Arabidopsis thaliana: one gene and its partners. The protein of the gene in region 1 interacts with the protein of each later gene in a pairwise test. Each region holds a gene or a part of one and is shown on either strand. Other genes may lie near its edges.

Region 1 (7,984 bases):
GGAAAAAATCAACAAAAAGAATTTTATACGAGTACATTAATTCTTGCAAATGTTAAATTATCCGTCTTATGATTTATACAAATAAGAATTGAATTAAGGGAGAAACTGATAAATACTTGTTCCTAACAAAGTTTAATAGATGTGTTGAGAAAACACACTTGTCCGTCGGTATAGACACTTATTCACCAATTTAGAACAATATGTAGATGTAGTTAGCTAGTTTATTAACTATAGTTTTTCTATTTAGCTAATTGATTTTATTTAGCATTTACCACTTTTTTTGGCATTGTTGATTACTATCTAAAAGTTGACTAAACAAAATACGTGTTTAACGTTTTTTTAGCTGTCATAATATAGTAATATACAATTCGAGTTGGTATAATAAATATCTGATCGCATCTAAAAGGAAATAGTGAATGGAACGACTTACAAAGAAGTATAATAATCCAACTATTTTTAAAATATCTCCTCCATGCATCCAGATCTGAGATTTGAAAATCTTCTCGGGAACCGGATCGGAGTGAAATTAGTTATACAATTTACAACTATATATAAATTTTAAGAATTTGATTTAAGAAAACATATGTCAATGAAGTCGTAACAGCTAGTCACACGACAGTAAAACGAACAACCTAAACGACGACCAGTTACAGCAATAGTAAAACGAACAATATATAGTAAAATCTGATCGAAGTCGCTAACCGTATATTACGGGTCGCAGTTGCTAGCGTGCGAGTTTACATATAGAATACAATAAAATTGCATGTTTGGTTAAGCTCTCTCCCAACTAACTATTGCTAAAAAAGAAAGAAGCTAAGAAGAACTAAGAGATCAGCAAGTAATGGGGAGCTTAAAGCTGAGCACATTTGCAATAGTCGTTTGTCTCTCCATCCTCCTCATATCTCCTATAGGTACGTAAAAAAGACCAAAATATTTTGATCCAAAGATCTAAAATAAATACATGTTTATGAAATATTGTCTCTTTGTATGGATCATACAGAAGTGAATGGATGGGGAAAGTGTGACTTACGAAAGGGTTTATGTAGACTCGCGGACACGATCTCTACTTGCGATGTACCATGCAGGGCAGTGGACAGCAAGTATCATGGAGGCGAATGCTTAAATGTTGGTGGTGGTCAAGGGATATGTTGGTGCTGCCGTGATTATGATGCTGCAAAGAGCGGTGCTGAAAAGGAAAGCATGTGATTGCAGATGATAGAAAACGACGTCACTTAATTTGTGTGTCTGTGTGTTTTGCTATTTGCATGTTTATGATTTCATCTCACATCCATGTTTGAGTGTTTGCCTTCTACTTTGGGGGTATCAAAATAAAGCTTTGGCTTTTGCAATAAAACTAGCTGTCTAAATTGTGTCGTTGTTTTGTTTCTTTGTTCCTTCACTTTAAACTTTTTCAGTTTTTTTTTTATAAAAAAAAATTCAAACACAAATACGTAATGATGTAGACATGTATTGTGTTACGTTTGTGTTCGTTATAATTTTTGTAATTTTTAGGTGTCATATACTGATAAAATGCCAAAAGTAGTCTGATATATATGGACTATAGTTGCTTTTTTTAGTGGTTGTCATCTTAGTCTTAGATCCATAAATTTATTTAAATTATTATACGAAGAAGGTCGGATGATGAAAGTTACTATTATTATGATAGTGTTTTAGATAATACGAATACAATAATAGTAATCAATGTATATCTTGTTTGACCGTGAAAAGTTTTAGACCCAAGAAATGGACCCTGTTTGTTAGGTGGTGGCAGAAATACTTAATTCCTTTCCAAAAATAAAACACGATTATTTTTCTTTTATACGTTTGCATAAAATTACAAAATTACAAAAGAGAACTAGTCCTTGTTGTTATATGCTGTAATTCTAATGGACCATTCTTATTTTTATTTTGTACTTAACATGATAAAATTTATAAAAATACTGTAAAACATTAATGAGTGAAGAAGATTCGGGAGATACACTTTGCATGGCTGCACATGATATGTCTTAAAACAAGTGACTTTTAAGACAAACCACAATTATTTTCTCTTTTTTCAGTAGTTTGGCAGATTACAAATTTATTGCGAATTTATCATCTAAAAGACTAAAATATAGTAATAGAAAATAAAAAAAATCATCTGCAAACCTAAACAAAAGAATGTATTTTTGACAACAAACTATATTATTACTAACGGTAGTTAGAGCGGACAAATACGTCAGCGATTTAGTCCGCTCTATTTTTAAAATGGGCAATAAACCGTTACGAACTAATTATATTTGTATGTAAAAACAGTCCGTAGTTAATCTGCAGTGGTTTTTTTTTTCTTTTTTAAATTCGCACCTATACAAATATGAATGATAAATAAAAAACAGTTCAAACCGCAAACGAATTTGTCCGCCTTAACCGTTGCAACCATTCAAATCCTATATAGCAAATATGTGCTACAATGATAAAGAGAGACATAGAAGAAAAAGAAAGTAATAAAACTCAGTTTACAGATTATTCTTCATTGTTATCATTATTATTGTCTCCTCCACTTTCAGTTTTGGCTCTGATTCATGCTCTCCGCATCAAACCCTCCACCAAACTGTACATAACAAAACACAGTTTCAAACTTTCAGTTATATGAGAAATTTGGTCAATTTAGGTTTCTTATGTTCTTGTCTGAATTGAGTTTTTCCTTTACCTGATGGTCTCTAAATAAATTACAGAAAGAACAAACACATTCAAAATAGGGCTTCAGATATTGAGAAACTCTATGGCATATGCTAGAAACCTCGAGTACTATACTAACAAGTATCCCATACCATACTAATAGAACCATTTCCAGTGACTGAGTCCCTCAAAAAAAAAATGATAGGCATCAAGCACAGAGTGAACCAATTAGACAACAAAATGACAGTCATCATCTCGATTCTTATCGAAAGACCCGACGTTGCCGGGATAATTCTCATGTAACTCTTGCATCGGTACATAGTTTACTTTCTAAATCAAACAGAAGAGAATGAAATTCTAAAACACTTGAATTTTGTGAAAATCTGAGACACATTTCATAGGCCATAGACGAGATGTTCTGTAGTAGTTAAAAACATTATATTCCTTATCATCGAGTTAATAACAACGATTAAGAAGTAAACCTACAACCACACTATATATTTGTCTCACTTAACACAACGACAAGAGAGAGACATATATTTTGACCAAGTTCAAGGATTCAAGAGAGGGCTTCCTTCTTTGATAAGCACAAAGACACTTCCACCGTCTCCTCTAGAGATCCGAATGTCTTTGTCTAGATAAGTCGTGAGTAGCCAAGACTGCGCATTGTCCGCCGGCAAAGAGAATTTCAACGGTGGTTGGCTTGATATGGTTCTAGCCACAGACGAGGCTGTGTCTTGCACCGAGGTAAGTAACCCTCTGATCGGGTTAAGATCAATCTTTTGACCAAGAACCTCTACATATTCCGGTATCTCAATAGAATCCGTTAGCTGAGGCGTCCCAATTACGCCTTGCTCAAACTTAATCTGCAAGAAAAATGAAATCCAAAACATTACTGAAAACGTTTCAAGATGTTGATATCAGATCATGGTCGATGAATGGTCAATTTACCTGGACGCGTTTAGGGCTTCGGATTTCGAATTTAGCGTTGGTGCTAATCGAGTTTGTACCTAAAGGACCAGCGAAACGAACAGAGTTCTGGACGGTGAAGTTATCTGAATCAATGGTTTGAGAGATCTCATCGACTTTTATTAACGGTACGATTCCTCGTGATAGCAACGGGAACAAATTCACGAACGATGTGTAGCTGCAAAAGAGGTTTAACCAAATCAAAAGCAGCACGAGATCTACCATTTGAATCCAGAATCCTACGAATGATGCTATCTACAGGACTACAAGAGAAAGTTTTCACCGGAAAAAAACTTACGCGAGGATCCATTTGCCGTTGAGAAGGAAAAGAGCTTCCGTCGGAGCTGGAGTAGGGTTCTTAGACTCGAGCTGTGTGATTAGATCTCCGATTTCAGCTCTGGTTTCGCTCGATGCGCTTAAACCTCGATCTGTTCCGTACAACGAATCCACGAGCGATCTCTTTAGCCGCTCCGTCTCTTCCACGTCTTCAATTGCTTCCTCCGCCGCCAATAGAGCTGATCCTATCTCTCCCGTATCTGTGGCTCGGACTTTGAAAACTCTACGGGGGGAAACAGCGATTCCTCCGGTGGAGATCATCGGGCGGTGAATAATTGAGGTCACCGGTACCAGAAACGGAGGCTTGGAGATAGATTTAGAGTTCGGTGAGATTGAAACTCTGGTTTGGCAGCTAAATTGGGTGGACAATTGTACCGTCGCCATTTTTTTTTGTTTCTTCGACTAAAATTTCGAAGCTAGTGAACAAGAATAGACCTGTACTGATTTTATAGACATTGTTACGTAAATGTTTTGCTTTCATCAACTACCAAACTCACACCAAGAGGGATAATATCGACTATTCCACATAGATCATGTACATTCGACTACGATACTGCCACGTGAGAGACAAGATCAACGGCCAAGAATCCACTCGACGGTGTGAGGCGAGCATTGTTTAGGCTAGATAAAATCCAAAATAACGGTTTACTGGGCTTGAATAGACTAAATGGGCCTCGTGAACAAAAAACCTCTTGTATTCTTTTTTGCATTTACATCATCTTCTTCAATAACCAAAAGAAACGTACAAAGTACACAAACCGTAGTTAAAACTTTGGAAACGTATCTAGGGATCACCTCACTTACTCACGTGGATCGAGAACTTTTAGCCGTCCGATCGTTTTCAGAAAATATCGAGTATCTCAATGATCGGACGGTTACAAAGAGGACACGATCCACGGTTCAGCCACAATTCTCTAGAGCACACTCTGCAAAAAGTATGACCACATGGAATAAACGCAGCGCCTTTCTTTCTTCCCATACACACGCAACACACCGAATCATTACCCGTTAACGTCCCAATAGACGCCGTTAATATCTCCGTTTCTTTCCCGTCGTCATCAACGATTTTCTCCGCCGTCTCTTCCAACAATCTCATCAACGAAACTCTCCTCGGCGTCATATCTGCCTCCGCCTCCGTCGATTCTCCACGGTTATACCTCTCCGCTTCTAACGCTGTCGCGAGATTCATACCCGTACCCGATCCATGATCCGATTCGAGAACGAGTCCGGTTTCAATTTGTAACTCTTCGATTTCGTCGTCTCTTGAGGTTGGACTGTGAAGAGTGGTGTTGTTAGTTAGACGGAGATTCCAGGTTGGACCACAGCATCCGATGCATTTGAATCTCAACCGTTCTTTTAACGTCCGTTTCCTTCTGGTGAGATCGTGACCGCTCATCTGTCGTCGGAGCAAATCAAGAAACGTCGTCGTCGTGCGGTGTGTTTCCGTCATCCTCTGACTCGTTCCGAGATCGAGTTCACTCATCATCGACTCGGTAACGGAAACTCTAAACAAATTCTCAGATAGTGAAACAGAATCACCAGTGAAATAGACAGATTAGCTCCGCCATGAGAGAGCCCTGTGAGGGAGAGAGAGAAACTGTTTAGATCTTTGGGTCTCGCAGTGATGATGACATTATAAAGGAAGTTTTCAGAGTTTTTTTTTTCTCTTCACATTTCTTTATTTTTTTTGTTAAAGTTGCTTCCGAATATTGATTTCCCGCGAATTAAAATTACTTTATACAGTTTTACTAATTTTTAACAGTTATAACGATTCTGTTTGACTGGTATTCCACACAAAATTACAGTAGTAGTGGAATCGAGTATATTTGTAAAATATTTTTCCAACTTGAGTATATAACTTTCAATTTTTAAAAACCAATTTTTAATAAGTTACTTACATCATTGTTTAAAACTTAAAAGGTTAATCAACTTATAATTATGTGTAATTTACCGAGAAATGATGTACAGTGTACGCAATGGGGGCAACTATAATGTTAGTTCTTCTGAATTTCTGATAGAAAGAGAAAAAATAAATTTACTTAAGAGGAAAAATTTAATGCTGTTTCTGTAACTGTACGACTTAGTTTTAAAATTAAATAAAAAAGTCTTCAAGGTCTCGAATAGAAACAAAATCGAATTAGTACTTAAGTTTATACTCCCTCCGTTTCATAATATAAGTTGTTTTATACCAAATTTTTTGTTTTATAATATAAGTTGTTTTCAAGTTTCTATGCAAATTATATATTATTTTAATACTTTATGATTATTTATATTCTACAGTTTTTTTTATAATTGGTTGAACATTTTAAAAATAAATATTCTTAATATACGTATTTTTAGTTAAAACAACTTATATTGTGAAACGAAGGGAATATTACCAACAAAAAAGGTCCTCCATCGGAGTTCAAACCCTATTAAAGATTAAACAAATCATCAATCGAATAAAGGTACTATTAATGTAACGCTAACTCTGAAATAAAAGCGACGATCAAAGTATTCGAATTTGATTACTGCTAATTATACTAGACTGATGAATTCTCTTACCTGTGCTATAACCGGAACATGGTTTTTTGGTAAAACCTTTCTGGCGGGAAAACATTTTTGTTATTAAACCCGCGGAAAATCATTTTAAAAAGTGAAAGGCAAAGAAGAGACAAAAAAAAAAAAAAAAAAAGAAGAAAAATTAAAGAAGGCGCATGAATCAAGGCTTTTCCCACGTGAAATGTTCGCATAGACGACGTCGTCTTTGCGCCACACTCTCCCCAACAAAACCAATAAAAATAAAAGTGTGGGATATAGAGATTCTAAACGCTAATACCAATATGCTTTTTGAGAGAATGATACATTCAATGATTTTGTACTTTTAAACATTTTTTTTACTCCTGTGAAATAAGAATTGAAGAAACCGACAATGCAACCACAAAGGCTAGTAGTATGGATAAAATGGTCTACAACGACTTAAGCTCATCAAAGTACATTTACATCATTAGGGTATTTGATTCTCTCACACACTAGCACAACGATGGGAATTTCACATTATTCCTTTATTCCCAAGTATATGGGATTATATCTATTGTTCATGAGCTGATACAAATAATCTTTTTTAGTTTACTTTCTAATTTATTAACTTGTAATGGATTTCTTGAGGCAGTCTACAATACCTTCGCAATGAGCCTCCTCAGGAACAACACACCCTGATTCTTCTTCAGTATCATCATCTTCTAAAATGGAGTGTGGAGAACGCAGACTGCCTAGAGTCTGACAAGCTCTCATTGTCTTGCAGTGTTCTGCTTCATCATCTCTTATGTTCACAAACACATCGTATAGATTTTCTGCCCAACCGTAATCACAAAACAACAAAAACGTTATATAGATTCTTATTTTAACATCAAAGTAAGTCACAAACTGTGAATAATGCTTCCTCCATACAAACATAAGACAGAATCTCAGTCATTTATAGAGCGCAGAATCATAACCATGGATAAATCATAAACTTTTTTTTAGCATTTTGTGGTTCGACGGAATCAGAGATGGAAAGAACTAAACGGATATGAAATAGATTTGCTACCTATTACTGGTCTTCGAGTATTGGGAGTTCTTGATGTTTGGAACTCATCTGCAGACAATACAGGGCCAGTTTAAAAGACTACTAATCATAGGTAAAAACATCTCTACAACTCTGGAGGATATTGATAATTCCTGGAAAGACAAACTCACCAAATAAGTACAAGTCACCTCCCGTATAGTATTTTACTGCGATATCCGGTGCAGGCATATTCTTCAACTCCTCTGTTTAGGGAAACCAAAAAAAAATGAAGCACAACAATTCAGAATGTAAAGATCGTTGAAGAATTTTGTGTAATATTTCAAAGCAATAACTCCATTAACAACTTTAGTTCTAATGTAAATGGTACACAGAATGGTGGAGAAAGAAGAAAAAACCATTGGTAACCAACCTCCACTGGCCTTGAGAAATTTATCATAAGTCTCATATGCATGACTCTCCACACATTCCGAAAAGTGA
Region 2 (7,227 bases), on another chromosome or scaffold:
TTGGCCGAGAATAATGTTTAATTACAAATGTAATAGACTAATACATGTTTATGTACATTATTCATTACCATTGACCAATATAAAATCGTTACAGACGAATATTTCTAATTAATTATTTATAATTTATTCATCTTTATTATTTTCGTTATAGGTTTTGTTAAGTTTTTTCGTCTTACTTCACACCCACTTATACCATCGCCTTGTCCATGAAACAATTTATGAGACCTTTAGTAGTTTAGGGCAAAGGCAAACCGCGTGAGCATATTAAATTATAGTAACCATGTCAACGTGAAATCTATTTTTCTTTTTATAAAAGGTCACCAAATTATAGAGAGATGTTCAAATCCACTACTTTGTACCTTAGAAATGTGCAATCATATTGCAGGGATGTTCATTGTTCAATCCCATCAACTTGTGGCTATATCCTCGTCTTGTCTTTTCACCGTGGTCGTATTATAGAATTTTGAAACTAAAGATATAGATAGAATAGCACTCCTTTTCTTATGTAGTCATTGTTTGTTTTTTATATCGATTAATCTTTCATTTTCCCAAAATGTACTATAACTAAAGAAAGATAACTTGTTTACATTACCAACAATAGGAATGAGACTATTTGTAACTAACATGTTAGGTCTTTATCTGAGAAAATTCTGACTTTGACCTCTTTAGTTCTACCGGTTGCTAAAAGAAAATTAATTGACCTACATAGTTTTTGTTTTAGAAACAAAAAATTCTTTTAACCTTTAGCAAAACAAAATTCCATTGTGTTGTTGTTAATGGAGTGATCAGTGATTCATTAAAAGATCGGAACAAAAGTTCTAGTACAACAAGAGGGCCCAAAAAGCCCAAGATTAGAATTTAAAGCCCAACAGTTTTAAAAATAAAAGATAAAAAATTTCGGATTGTCCCCGAAGTTATTCCTTTTGCTGCTCTTGACTTGAAAGTTATAAACCCTCACGATTCATCCTTAAACCCTAAGCCTAAAGCAGAAACGCAGAAGCCCTGATAATGGCGGATCCGATGAACCATAGCACCGGGCATCAACAACAGCAGAAGTACCGTCAGTACAATCCTTACCAACAAGTCAATCTTCCGTACCGTAAGCTCTACGAACTCCCAACTTCTCCTGAGTTTCTCTTCGAAGAAGAAGCTACGAAAAAACGCTTAACATGGGGAGAGAACCTCACCTTCTTCACCGGTTGGGGTTATTGCACTGGATCTGTTCTCGGAGCCTTCAAGGGTACAATTGCGGGGATGCGAGCCGCCGAACGAGGCGAATCCCTAAAGATCCGAACTAATCGGATTTTGAACTCCGGTGGACTCGTTGCAAGACGCGGCGGGAATTGCTTAGGATCCGTAGGGTTGATGTTTGCTGCTATGGAGAGCGGTGTTACGTATATGAGAGACGGAGACGACGGTTCGTTGACAACTGTGATCGCTGGTTTAGCCACTGGTGTGCTTTACAGAGCTGCTTCTGGACCTAGATCCGCTGTGGTTGCCGGAGCTGTCGGAGGAGTTGCGGCTTTGGCTGCAGTTGCTGGAAGACGCATCGTCAAGCGATTCGTTCCAATCTAATGAAAGTTTCTCAATCTCTCAAGGTTAGGGTTTAAGAACTAGTTTAAAGGAGGGGCTTTTAGATAGTGAATCATTGGTACTGGATTTAGGGCTTATGAATTCAATTTCCACTGTATAAAAGTTGACATTTTTATTGATCTAATTGCTCAATCCGACTCAACTTTTTGCTGATTTTGTCGAATTCACGAAATTGAAATGATCTCACATAAAAACTCAATTGATAATTTTACAAAGGAGAAAAATTTGTCAATCAAAGAAGAAGAGAAAGATTGAACTTTTAACCTCACTTGGTCATAACTTCAACGCCATTCTTTCCAGCGATAATGACAGAAGTAGCCATTCCGAGAAACAGACCATGCTCCACCACTCCTTGAAACTTCCCAATCTCTTTAGCCGCAGCGAATCCATCCTTCAAAGGAGTCTTAAAATACAAATCAATAATGTAATTACTGTTATCAGTCACATAAGGCTTGCCATCACCATCAACTCTAAGCTTTGATTCACATCCAAATTCCTTGAAGAGGTCTTGCAATCTAATCAAATTAAAGTTCCAGCAGAATTGAACAACTTCCACCGGCATAGCTAATCCACTTCCACCGAGTCCTGTAACGAGTTTGGTATCATCAGCCACAACAATAAACTTGTCAGCCACAGCTTCCACCATTTTCTCACGGAGAAGAGCACCTCCACGACCTTTGACTAAATCAAGATTCGGATCTACCTCGTCTGCTCCGTCAATAGCGAGATCGATTCTCGGATGTGTATCTAACCCAACAAGAGGAATCCCTAACGACCGTGCTTGTTCCTCCGTTCGTTTCGACGTTGGGATACCGACAATATCGTAGAGTTCACCGGAAGAGAGTAGTTTCCCGATCTGATCAACAGCGAAAGCTGCGGTGGATCCGGTTCCGAGCCCTAGAACCATCCCAGGTTTAATTGCCTCCACAGCTTTCTCCGCCGCGAGCTTCTTCAAATCGTCCTGTGAAAGCGCGACGGATTGAGCCTTGACGGAGAATGAAACGGAGGTTCGAGGAGAAGAGCCAGTGCTGCGTAGGGCAATAGAAGGAGTGCGTAGCGTAAGGTGAGAAGAGGAAACGAAGGATAAGGAAGCCATTGGAGAGAGAGGATTGAGAATGGTTGGAGAAGAAATAAAATGAAATCGAAAGGTTTGGTTTTTGACTTTTGAGTGGAAGAGGAAGGTTTAGTGGCAAGTTATAGAGTTTTGTAGTTGGTTTGAGGGTAGTATTGGAATACTAGTTTTAAGGTTGTTGTATTTGGGTTGGTGAAGATAATAACCTGCTAAACCAATCAGAGTGTTAAATATACGATGTCGTTTTTGTTTCTTTGAGAACAGAGTTATATAAAAACCTTTTTTGGTTTGGTTTCGTGGAGAGTCTAATTATTTTCTTCCACTTTCTCGATCTTTGAGATTTCTTTCAAAGGAAGAAAAAAAAAAAAACTCGCGATGTCCGCCGAATCAGCTAGCCAAATTCCTAAGGGACAGGTTAGTTAACGAAACTTTGTTGGTTTCGATGGTTTTCTTCAATGAGGAATTCAATTCTTGGGTGGGAAGATTATCTAGGGTTCTTATCTGTTGTTCGAATCTTGATTTGAAGTTTTCTGATGTGTCTATATAGTTAATCGATTCTATCTAAGTTTTGGTTGTTGTGTTTGATTATCAGGTTGATCTACTAGATTTTATTGACTGGTCTGGTGTTGAATGTCTTAACCAAAGCTCAAGTCACTCTTTGCCCAATGCTCTCAAGCAGGTTTGTTATTCTCTTATGTTCCATATCTTTATGTAGTTGTATGTCTGTATACAAGTTTTTGTTATTGGTGAGTTCTTGAAACTGTTTGTGTTTGCTATGATTGTCTATCTGTAAAAAACTTATGTGTGAGTTTATGAGATTTGATATAGATAATTGAGTACAAACTTAGGTTTTCGTGGAGTGATATTGCGTGCCAGCCTGCTTTTGAATTTATGATTACCTGTTTCTATTGGTGTTTTATGACCTGAGAAGGATTTACTTGTTCGTGTAGGGATATAGAGAAGATGAAGGTTTAAACTTAGAGAGTGATGCTGATGAACAACTTCTCATCTATATTCCTTTTAACCAAGTTATCAAACTACATTCCTTTGCTATCAAAGGCCCTGAAGAGGAAGGTAAATTGATGTTCTATATTGAAAGATAAGCATATAGTTGTTTGTTATTTTAGTCTTGCCTACAAGAATTACTTCTTTTTACTGAACTGGAGATGGGATTTTGATATGTGGGGGCTGTTACTTGTTAGCCAGTGAGATTTTAACTTTGTTTGATTCTAACTTTTCTTCAGGTCCTAAAACTGTAAAGTTTTTCTCAAACAAAGAGCACATGTGCTTCAGGTAATGTGAATCGTTTCTAATTTCTACCTAACAATATGATTTATCTCGATAAAAGCGCCGACTCACATCGTGTCTAATGAATAAAACAGCAATGTCAATGATTTTCCTCCAAGCGACACCGCTGAACTAACTGAAGAAAACCTTAAGGTATGATCTTTCTGAAATCTGACTTTATTCATTTTGTGACATATTCTGGTGATCTATCTATCTGTATTGAGACCTCTGTTCAAATCCATTTACAGGGAAAACCGGTGGTCCTAAAGTACGTAAAGTTTCAGAATGTTCGTAGGTAAGGATTTACCATGTTCTGTGTCTTTGTATATATATATTATAATATTAAGCGCAATCACAGCTCGTTCTAACGATATCTATTTAATTCAAGCTTGACGATCTTCATCGAAGCCAACCAATCAGGTTCTGAGGTCACCAAGGTTCAGAAGATTGCTCTCTATGGCTCAACGTAAGTCTCTGAAATCTTTCTGTACAAGTCTGTTACAAAGATACTCTGCCTAAAGAGAATTTTGTTCTTAGCTTTTCATATTTCTGAAATCTTTAACTTGCAAATTTATTGATCTTTACACCATTCTGTGCAAATAACAGGGTGGAGACGACTGATATGAAGGGATTGAAAAAGATTGAAGATCACTGAGCATACAAAAGTGTTTTAATCATATGATCGTATATCAGTTTGATTTCTAGTGTTCTATTGCGTTTCATCGTTTGTTTTTTACTTACTTTTTTTTGAATTAAAATAGACCAGAACTTGTGATTGCCTATTCGCAGGAATTCGAAACGAAGGATAAGTCAATTTGAAAATCATCTTGCAATTCTTAACAGTTTGGGCAGGACTCAACTTTTATCTTTGTGTGTTCATATTCTTGAGGGGGAAAAGGGCGTTTATTTATGAGGCAGTTATTACACAAGTAAAATATGAATAATGATAGAACTAGGCATCAAATAGTTATTAGTCTTAAACTCTTAATTAAACATAGATCCAATATGAAATCTTGATTTATAATAACTATTAGAAATTTGGAATTAGGATTAAAAATCTTACTGAGCATTTTTATTGGGATTATTTTCTTTCTTTGTCTGAAAACAATTAATTAATTTTTGGTTTTGGGCTATATCATTTTTTGGTTTTGGGCTTGAAAGCCCATTTAGGGTTTTCCGGAGTATCTTAATTCTTAAGCGAAACACTCTTTAGGGGTTTCGAAAGAAGAGAAAGAAACAGAGCGAAAAAACGAAAATGGCGGCGAACGGAGTAGCGACGGCGGGACGTCAGGTATCAGAGAAAGAAGCTGATATCCAGATGATGTTATCAGCCGATGTTCACCTTGGTACCAAAAACTGCAACTATCAGATGGAGCGTTATGTCTTCAAAAGACGCGACGACGGTAAACTATCTCATCTTCATCCAAATTTCATTGTACATGTAATTCTATATAGAAGCAACGTTTCCACATTCATCTACACGTAGCTTACGAATTGATAGTTTCTCCAGTTTCCATAGTGTTGGGTATTCATCTGTAATTCTCGGTTTCATAGAGTTTTGTGATGTTTTTGGATCTTTTTTTTGTTTATGAAGTTTGGATTTTTTTTTATTTGGTCAGGTATTTACATAATCAATCTTGGAAAGACATGGGACAAGCTTCAGATGGCTGCTAGGGTTATTGTAGCAATCGAAAACCCAAAAGACATAATTGTTCAATCAGCCAGGCCTTATGGACAAAGAGCTGTCTTGAAGTTTGCTCAGTACACTGGTGTTAATGCGATTGCTGGAAGACACACTCCTGGTACTTTCACTAACCAAATGCAGACTTCTTTCAGTGAGCCTAGGTTGTTGATTCTCACCGACCCAAGAACCGACCATCAGGTATATTGAATGTGTTTTACCTCATCAGTTGTGATTTAACTGTGTAGGTTTTTGGTTTTGCTAATGCGGTTTTGGTTTGTGTTTGCCAGCCAATCAAGGAAGGTGCTTTGGGAAACATTCCAACTATTGCCTTCTGTGACACGGATTCTCCAATGGGATTTGTCGACATTGGTATTCCTGCTAACAACAAGGGAAAACACAGCATTGGTTGCTTGTTCTGGCTTTTGGCTCGTATGGTTCTCCAAATGCGTGGAACCATTCTCGCAGCTCAGAAATGGGATGTCATGGTAAACTCTAGAAATACTATCAGGACTTGTGTTTCTCCAACACCAGACAAAGATCTTGACTTGTTTCTGTTGTGTAGGTGGATCTGTTTTTCTACAGGGAGCCCGAAGAAGCAAAGCAAGAGGGTGATGAAGAAGCTGAAGTACAGGCCGATTATGGAATGGTTGGTGGTGACCAGTGGACCACTGCTCAAATATCTGATGCTGCATGGTCTGGTGAAGTCGAACAGCCAATTTCTGCTGCACCTGCAGTTGGCGGTTAGTTTCTTCTTCATCATAGTCTCTCGGAATCTAAACACCAAATGTTCTAATGTTTTTGCTGTTTCCTTTTTGCAGTTACCGTTGCTGCTGGATGGGAGGCTGCTTCTGTTCCAGCTGCTGGTTGGGAGTAAAAGCTCTCTTATTAGTTTAGCTCGAACTCGGTTAGATGTAGACCTGATTTTTTTGTTTTCGAGATTTGGAGAGGATTAGGACCATATTAGCTTGCTTTACTTCTTGTCTCTTGAGAATTGCGACCATGAGATTAGGTGCATTTTTGCCGGTATTTCCAAGTTTCAACCATATAACGGTATTTTATCGTTGATTCTTTCATTGAATTGAACATTGGTCTTCTATTTAAGTCATATTATTCATTGATATTGCAAAAAAAATCTGAATGTTATGAATATTATGCATAATAGAATCTCCAACATGAAATCTCTCACGAAAGCTCTCAAGAGAACAACATTGAATCGACATGTAAAGTGTTTAATGTCGCAGTATCCAATATTATACATTTATACCTATAAAATTGAGCTTGAAAGTAGCCCCCACATTCGATGCCGTTGTGTGGTGTTTCCAACAGTCTTCTTTTCTTTGTCATACTGTTGCCAATGGTCGGCCGTTAATTACAGCTGAACACGACATTTTACTTTATCGGTCAAAGCTTAAACCGGAATCAATTCCTTCGCAAAAAAACTAAGATGTTGACAAAGTCAAAGGATGGAAGGAGGCCAAGAAGGTTCGTGACACACTGAGTAGTGAGTCCCTAAGCCTTAAGATCTGATCTCATCCTAATTTTAATATGTTTTTGCCTTTTACTATGTTTTAAGAATTAACGTTATGATAAT
Region 3 (7,585 bases), 9.4 Mb from region 1:
AGAGTTGTTCAACCGAAAGCATTCAGGTTTGCGATCTGTGATTGAGAGGACATTTGGAGTATGAAAAGCAAAATGGAGGATTTTAGATCGTAAGCATCCAAAATATGGTCTGACTAAGTGGATAAAGATTGTAACAGCGACAATGGCACTACACAATTTTATAAGGGATTCACATCGGGAAGATCATGATTTTTTATAGTGGCAAAGCATAGAAGAATATCATGTTGATGATGAAGAAGAAGAAGAAGAAGAAGAAGGAGAAGAAGAAGAAGGAGAGGGAGAAGAAGAAGAAGAAGAAGAAGAAGAAGGAGAAGAAGAAGAAGGAGAAGAACATGTTGCATATAAGCCTATTGGTGACAGAGCGATGGAAGCTTTACGTAACAACATCACGAACGAATGTAATAAAGGTCGCTTACCTTATTAGATATGTTTTTTTTAGTGACTTGGTTTATTATTTTAGTTAACGATTTTGTCTATCTTTTTTGCTTATAACTTGGTGTACTACTTTATTGTTATAATTATGCTTATGATTTTTCACAAATTTTTATCGTTATAATTACAAAAGAAAACTAAAAATTATAACTAGTTAAATAAAAAATGTTATGGATGTAACTATATTTAGATTACATTTTTTTTATTCAAATATAATTATAATACAAATTTATATTAAGAAAATAAGAATTAAGTTAAAACTAACGCAGCGGCGGCGAAACGAACATAGATACTTGCGGCAGCGGCAGCGTCGGCGGCATCCAAACGAACATAAATGTTGCGTCAGCGGCAGTGGCGACGAAACGAATAACAATCTGCGGTAGAGTTTCCCGCTGCCGCTGCCGCCTGCGGTGAACAAACAAACAAACTAAATAATGTCTTGTTGGATATGCAATTGAAGAAGATAGGAAACAAAATTCTTAACTTTTTTTTTTGTGTTTTTTAGATACATGGTAATTCGATGGCAACACTACAAGTTCCAAGTGACGACGTGAGGTTTTTTTTTTATAGGTTGGAGCTCGGTTTTACAGCACCAACGGAGCTCCCACGTCCCCTTCTTCAGTTGATTGAGGTAAGCGTTAATACGCCATAATTGAGGCTCTCAAAAATTGGACGTACGTATAGTTGCGGGGACACGAGTAGCGATACTTGGGTTTCACGGAACTGCAAAGTCTAGTCTTTTGAATGTTCTTGCGGGAGATTTAGTTACTGTTTTGAATGTTCTTGCGGGAGATTTAGTTACTGTGGGTGAAGTGAGAATAAGCCAGAACCTGAGGATCGGAAGGTACTCTTTTGTGGAGAAGCCCACTTGGATATATTCTTCCTAGATCTTTATCCTCCTCACCCAAGACCAAAGGAAATATATTAAACTTGATGCGGTGCGTTTGAAACTGATCAGGTTTGGTCTCCCAAGTCAACACCATTACACTTCATTTTCACGATTGTTTGAAGGACAAAAGGCTAAGGTTGTGTTAGCCTCCATCTCAATGTCCAACCCACACATTTTGCTTTGTTGACGAGCCAACTAATCACTTGGACAAGCCAACTATAACTGCCTTGGGGAATTCACTAAGTTGGTTCAAAGGAGCAGCTGTGTTGGTTAGTCACGACTCGAGACTTGTATCTTCCGATGTACATTTAAAGACTACCAAATCCAGTCAGAGGTATTCAAAAAAGTCTTATGAAATCTTGAAAGATGGGGTGAACAAAAGGATTCAATGTTGTCCCTAACTAAGATCCTTAGTCATAACAACAATGGAAAAGGATTCACAACTAACAACCAAAGAAACCAAAATCTTATTCCTCCAAAGGATCCTACAAAAACTCTTCATCATCCACAAATATTCAACGAAGATCTCCATCATTTTATCCAATGAAAAGCCAAAATAGATACAACCGCGTTTTTGTTTGTAATTGCATGATTATAAAGAGTTCTAGAGATTATCAATTATACATTATACAAACGATAACGAAAAAAAAAGAAGAAGAAGAGAGTTTTGGACTCATATAGAAGATTCAAAGAGGGTTCAAAACAAATCAAACCTGTGCATTAGCTCCAGCAACAATCTCAAGAATCTCTCCAGTAATCTTAGCTTGACGCTTTCTATTATACACCATCGAAAGCGATTTCTTGAGATCCGATGCATTATCCGAAGCACTACTCATTGCACTCATTCTAGCTGCAAGCTCACTAGCCAATGACTCCTGTAATGCCCTAAGAATCTGACTGTTAAGATACAGAGGCAACAAAGCATCAAGAATCTGAACAGGGTCTTGCTCGAATTGCAAGATCGGCGAGAAATCAGCTGTTGGTGTCCTAAAAGTCTCTCTTTCAACTGTCAATTTCCCTTCTTTTGTCGTTAACCTGAAAAACTCATCTTCCGCAGCATCCACACAGGTTCCATTAATGTCACAGATCTCTCCTTTAGGTGATAAAGGCAGTAGCGTGTGGATCACGGGTTCTGATTTGACCAAAGAGACAAACTTTGTGTACAAGAGCTCGACTTTGTCGACTTCTTCACTTATAAACAGAGAGAAGACATCATCAGCCACAGCTTGAGCTTCTTTAGCCGTAGGTAAAGTTCCGGCTTCTAGGTATTTGTCGACGGGGATGTACGGGCGACGGAGGAAATAAGAATTTCCCTTCTTGCCCACGCTAATGACTGTGTATTCAAGACCTAGACCTTTAAGCTCTTTGATTCTTGCCTCTGCTTTCTTAATGATGAAATTGTTGAATCCACCACATAATCCACGATCACCGGTGACGACAACGAGAGCTACTTTCTTAACCGGTCTGACTTTGGTTAAGGGAACATCGACATCATCGGTTTGAAGCTGTTCGTTGATGTTGTAAAGAACTTCAACTAGGGTTTCTGAGAATGGTCGTCCATTGACAACAGCTTCTTGAGCTCTCCTGACTTTAGCTGCAGCGACAAGCTTCATAGCTTCGGTGATCTTTTGAGTGTTTTTGACTGAATCGATACGGTCTCTGAGCTCACGAAGAGACGCTTGGAGTGGTGAAACAGAGGAAGCTCGTGAAGGAGGTGAGGAAGTGTTAGTTGGGCACTTGAGAACAGATCGGAATGATAAGGAAGATGAATCAGCAGAAAGAGATGGTTTTGATGAAACCCACATTGTTGTTAGATTAGAGCAAGCCATTTTTTTGTTGTTTGTTTCAGACAGTGTTTTGCTCTAACCTTATCTCTCTGTTCTTTTGATTGTATTGTATTGAAGAAGAAGAAAGAAGAGAGGAGAGATTTGAGTGGAGGGAAGAGAAGGTGATGAGATTAGGTTTGGAGATAAGGTTTTACATTTGCTATTTGGAGTCTGCAAATTGTGGGATCCTCTTTTTGTTGACGTGGCGTTGTATTAGTGGATGGTTCGATATCTTCAATGTTTTTTTTTTTTGGGGTGTGTGGTATATATCTTACTTCTTTGTAATTGTTTATCAGCCAACCAATAATTGCTTTTTTATTTTATGAGTTTTGACCCCAAAGAGAGAAAATATCTGACAAAGGATAGAAATTAGAGTAATTAGGTTTGGTTTAATTTCTTTGGTATGGTTTTGGTCCATTAGTATATATATATACCAATCAAATTACCTTACAATAGACTTAAAATGATATATATATATATATATATATATATATATATATAATTTGTAATCTGGTTTGATTTGTTAATTGCTTTTTTATTTTATGAGTTTTTGACCCCAACGAGAGAAAATATCTGACAAAGGATAGAAATTAGAGTAATTAGGTTTGGTTTAATTTCTTTGGTATGGTTTTGGTCCATTAGTATATATATATACCAATCAAATTACCTTACAAGAGACTTAAAATGATATATATATATATGTATATATATATATTTTTTAATCTGGTTTAATTTGTTAATTGCTTCAATTTTCTCCAAAATTTTTTTGATAAGCAAAACTTTATAGAGAAAAACAAATATTTGGTTATAACGAAAAAATCATATAGTGTAACAACTAACAACAATGGTTTCATTTGTTAATTGCTTCGATTTATTCCAAAAATTCCGATAAAATAATTCTACAGATCAAAACAAATATTAAAAACTAATATTTGGTTAGAAATTAGAACGAAATAATAAACATATAATAAGAATTAACTAAATTATAGATATAAAAATTTATAAAATTTTATTCATTAAATTAATTATAAGATGTTTATATATTAAAATCAATAAAATATTAATTTTATCATGAAAATTGTAGTTTTCTTTTTGGTTAAAATTATATATTATTGTATCTTCAACTACATCCGGATACATATTTTGGAATATGCTTATTGTTACAAGAACATACCGAAATCACACAGAAACCACAAAAATTCCCAACCTCTTGCTATAAACAAGTTCTTAGTTTTATTTGTTTTGTTTTATTTTCATCACCAAACATATTATTACGTACGCTCAGTTTCTCATGGATTTGTACAAACTAATATCATCTTTATTAATCACCAACAATCTAGTGACATTCTATTCATCTCTTAAGGATCAAATCGACCTATGAATCTTTGATGCTTACATGAAGTAAAGCTCATTATTCTTTCCGTCAATTATTGCATACTCGTCCACCATTTCAAATAATAGAACATTAAGGATGCTGAACATGTTGAGTCATACACCTTATTGGATTTAGGGTTATAGTAACAATCTATGTAAAATCTGCACCGTATTAATATGAACTCGTTGCTCGAGTTATAAAAGCCCAACCAAACAAAGATTACACATCACACCAGAACTGACTTTAAAATGAGTTGACCACCCTAAGTACAATGAAGATTATGATCCATCAAATTCAACATTTTCAGTTGCCTAAAAGAGGTAGATCCTTAGTGGAAAGGCAATACAAATTGCTACTCATATGTAATATGCAAGAAATGAGTAAGTTCTTTTAAGGGTTTGATTATTTTATTTTCTTTCTTTTTTATTTCTTTGAAATGGAATGATGATAATGCAACTTTCAAAATATATAAGACTTCTTTTAGGTCACAAAATTTGATGTTAGTATTTAGGTCACAAAATCGGCACCATCCACGCAATTTGTGTCAAGTCGATTATGAAATGAATCAAAACCGTGCCTAACCAGAATGTCCTGAATCGAAATCCAAAATGCAAATACCTTACTTAGACAACAAAACATTGATGTATCAATATATCTAAAACAACAATAGCTATTGAAAGGGGGGGGGGGGGTGGTGGTGGTGGTATTTATGTAAGGTACGAGCCCTCTCCATGTCAGATCCAAAATAGCGCCAAACTCAAAAAAACAATCCCGAAACTATAGATATCAGTCTTTTCATTAAAGTTATCCAATTTAACTTCAATTTCGGGTGCTTTATAGACGGTTATTTCTGGTTCACTATAGCTACCAACTTTTTGGGCATCTTCCACCATTTTTTTTTTTTTTTTTTTTAGTTCATAAATTTCCATTCAACTTTAAAACATACAATGGCAAAAGCCCAAATAAAGGCCACATGCCCAACACAGGAGAAAACAAACCTTTTCCTGCAACAAACAAAAGGGGAGACGAAACCTGCAACACTAGAAAACCAAAACAAACAGCCCTGAACTAGAACAACGAAAACCAAGTTCCTAGCAAGGACAAAGCGTTAGGTTGATGAGCCGTGCTGCGAGACAAAGGATCCAGACGAGCGCGAATGATGAGCTGGATGTCCTTCAAGATAGACTCAGTAGAACGAGAGACGCCGGAGTGGAGACGTTGGTTTCTTTCTCTCCAAATTGCATAAACACAAGAGTGAAAGGCCAGCCTGATAATGAGACAAATATTTTTTTCCCTTGAGGGAGATAAGAGCCAGTTAAGACAGTCCATTAATTGGGCAGGAGGATTAAGGTTGGTTGAGGCTGTAAAAAACCTCCACACGACACCACTAAACTGGCACTCAAAGAAGAGATGTGCTCTCGAATCGTCATGAGCATTGCAAAGAAGACACTCAGCAGGGATCGAGAGACCCCAATTCTGAAGCCTATCCCTTGTGTGCAATCTATTCCACGCCACAACCCAACAAATGAAGGCGTGCTTAGGAACATGGTTCTTAAACCAGACCGCCTTATGCCAGGGGACGGTGTGAGATTGCGGATGCAGAGCAGACCAAGTTCTTGGAGCGGAGAATCTGTTTGATGGTGCATGAAGGTCCGTTTTCCAAAGAAAGGAGTCGTCATGCTGACAGTCAAGCAAACCCTGAGCCTCCGGGAGAAGATTTTTAAGCTGAACAATGATTGGATTCCTGCTACGGCTTGATGCAATCCACCAAGACGTGCCCCTTAACGCATCCCTAACCACAGCATCAATAGGCAAACCAACTGTACGAGGGCCTAGAGGACCGATTACCTCTATAAGGGGGCCAAGGCCAATCCAATTATCATGCCAAAACTTAGCGGTGACCCCGGAACCAACCTCACAAACAATAAAGGGCCTTGCCACAACTCTGAGCTTACACATCTTCCACCATCTTGGATATCATTTCAACACCTTCAAGGACATCTTCGTCCTCTACATGAGAGGAAAGGTTCTTCACATAAGTGGAGTCGAATCCTGTAATTGTGGAGTTAAAATAGAAAATAAGACAAATAATGAAGTAGTTCATTAAAGAGTTTTATTAAAATGCGAGGAACCAAAAAGAAAAAATTTATATTTGTTTTAGTTCATAAAAGATTGAATGTGGCTGCACCAATAATCAGCTTTGGCTACATTAATTTACACAACATATATATGGACTTATATATATGAACCCATATATATATATTTATATATATGAACCCATATATATATATTTATATATATGAAAAACTCTTATTATAAAACCTAATAACATTGATTTAGATGGACTACACTAATGATAATATCTTGGGTTTTTATGTGTGCTCTTATACTATTGTCGATTGTATGATTTATTCTTCATCGGATCTAAAGCAATACTCAAAAAGGTTTATGTGTGCTCACTCAAAACCTTAACTAGGGGTTCAACAAAACAAAACAAAAAAACTCAAAGGAGATGGATTTCGAGTTGAGAAAACTTTCAAGAACATTTTCAAACTCTAGAAAAAAGGAAAGCTTCATTCTATGAATGGAGTTAAATAGAAAATAAGACATGAAATAAAGTGATTCATTAAAAAGTTTTTTTTTTCTCATAAGTGTTATACTTTATTTTAAAACTTGTGTTGTAAAGATACAACTGTGGAACCTTCCACTTACAAATCTTGACAGTTGACACATATTAAATCTTACAACGTTGGATCAACTAAAGTATAGTCATCCATGTTGCATAAAAACAAACAAGTCTAGCTTATAAGCAGATGCCCATAAAGAAAGCCCAGTCCAGGAAACAAAACCCTTAGAGAAAGTAAATTTAAAGATTGCCTTCCACCCAAAAGCCACGTGTGATGTGAAGAAACAAAGTTGAAACACGTGGACTGAAGAAGCCTTAGTCGTCGCTGTTCATCGCCGAACTGGTTAGCAACTCAGAGAACTCCAAAACCATGGAAACCGCCAGAGCTTCAAGAGAAGTCTATCAATTTTTAATTAGAGAACCCCACCAAACTTCAT

What was found.
Region 2: the proteins of AT4G22240 (region 1) and EMB3119 interact in a two-hybrid assay, tested with the Arabidopsis thaliana proteins (one study listed by BioGRID).
Region 3: the proteins of AT4G22240 (region 1) and ATPC1 interact in a two-hybrid assay, tested with the Arabidopsis thaliana proteins (one study listed by BioGRID).

What each region holds. Positions count from the first base shown.
Region 1 is NC_003075.7:11,762,884-11,770,867, forward strand, and holds AT4G22240 (Plastid-lipid associated protein PAP / fibrillin family protein), read right to left. Parts: upstream 4,540-7,984; 5' UTR 4,345-4,539; coding exon 3,923-4,344; intron 3,803-3,922; coding exon 3,607-3,802; intron 3,522-3,606; coding exon 3,207-3,521; 3' UTR 2,920-3,206; downstream 1-2,919. Other genes in the region: AT4G22235 (defensin-like protein), read left to right, coding at 842-911, 1,001-1,206; AT4G22250 (RING/U-box superfamily protein), read right to left, coding at 4,802-5,446; IM (Alternative oxidase family protein), read right to left, coding at 7,084-7,292, 7,529-7,576, 7,678-7,749, 7,917-7,984. UniProt on the Arabidopsis thaliana protein: Probably involved in light/cold stress-related jasmonate (JA) biosynthesis.
Region 2 is NC_003074.8:1,308,827-1,316,053, reverse strand, and holds EMB3119 (Ribose 5-phosphate isomerase, type A protein), read right to left. Parts: upstream 2,758-7,227; 5' UTR 2,690-2,757; coding exon 1,859-2,689; 3' UTR 1,766-1,858; downstream 1-1,765. Other genes in the region: TIM23-3 (translocase inner membrane subunit 23-3), read left to right, coding at 1,009-1,575; AT3G04780 (PITH domain protein (DUF1000)), read left to right, coding at 3,041-3,079, 3,258-3,344, 3,616-3,739, 3,910-3,958, 4,048-4,105, 4,201-4,247, 4,341-4,418, 4,559-4,607; RPSAb (40s ribosomal protein SA B), read left to right, coding at 5,208-5,355, 5,572-5,834, 5,924-6,376, 6,455-6,589. UniProt on the Arabidopsis thaliana protein: Catalyzes the reversible conversion of ribose-5-phosphate to ribulose 5-phosphate.
Region 3 is NC_003075.7:2,348,733-2,356,317, forward strand, and holds ATPC1 (ATPase, F1 complex, gamma subunit protein), read right to left. Parts: upstream 3,287-7,585; 5' UTR 3,151-3,286; coding exon 2,029-3,150; 3' UTR 1,766-2,028; downstream 1-1,765. Other genes in the region: AT4G04650 (RNA-directed DNA polymerase (reverse transcriptase)-related family protein), read right to left, coding at 5,257-5,380, 5,607-6,481. UniProt on the Arabidopsis thaliana protein: Produces ATP from ADP in the presence of a proton gradient across the membrane. The gamma chain is believed to be important in regulating ATPase activity and the flow of protons through the CF(0) complex.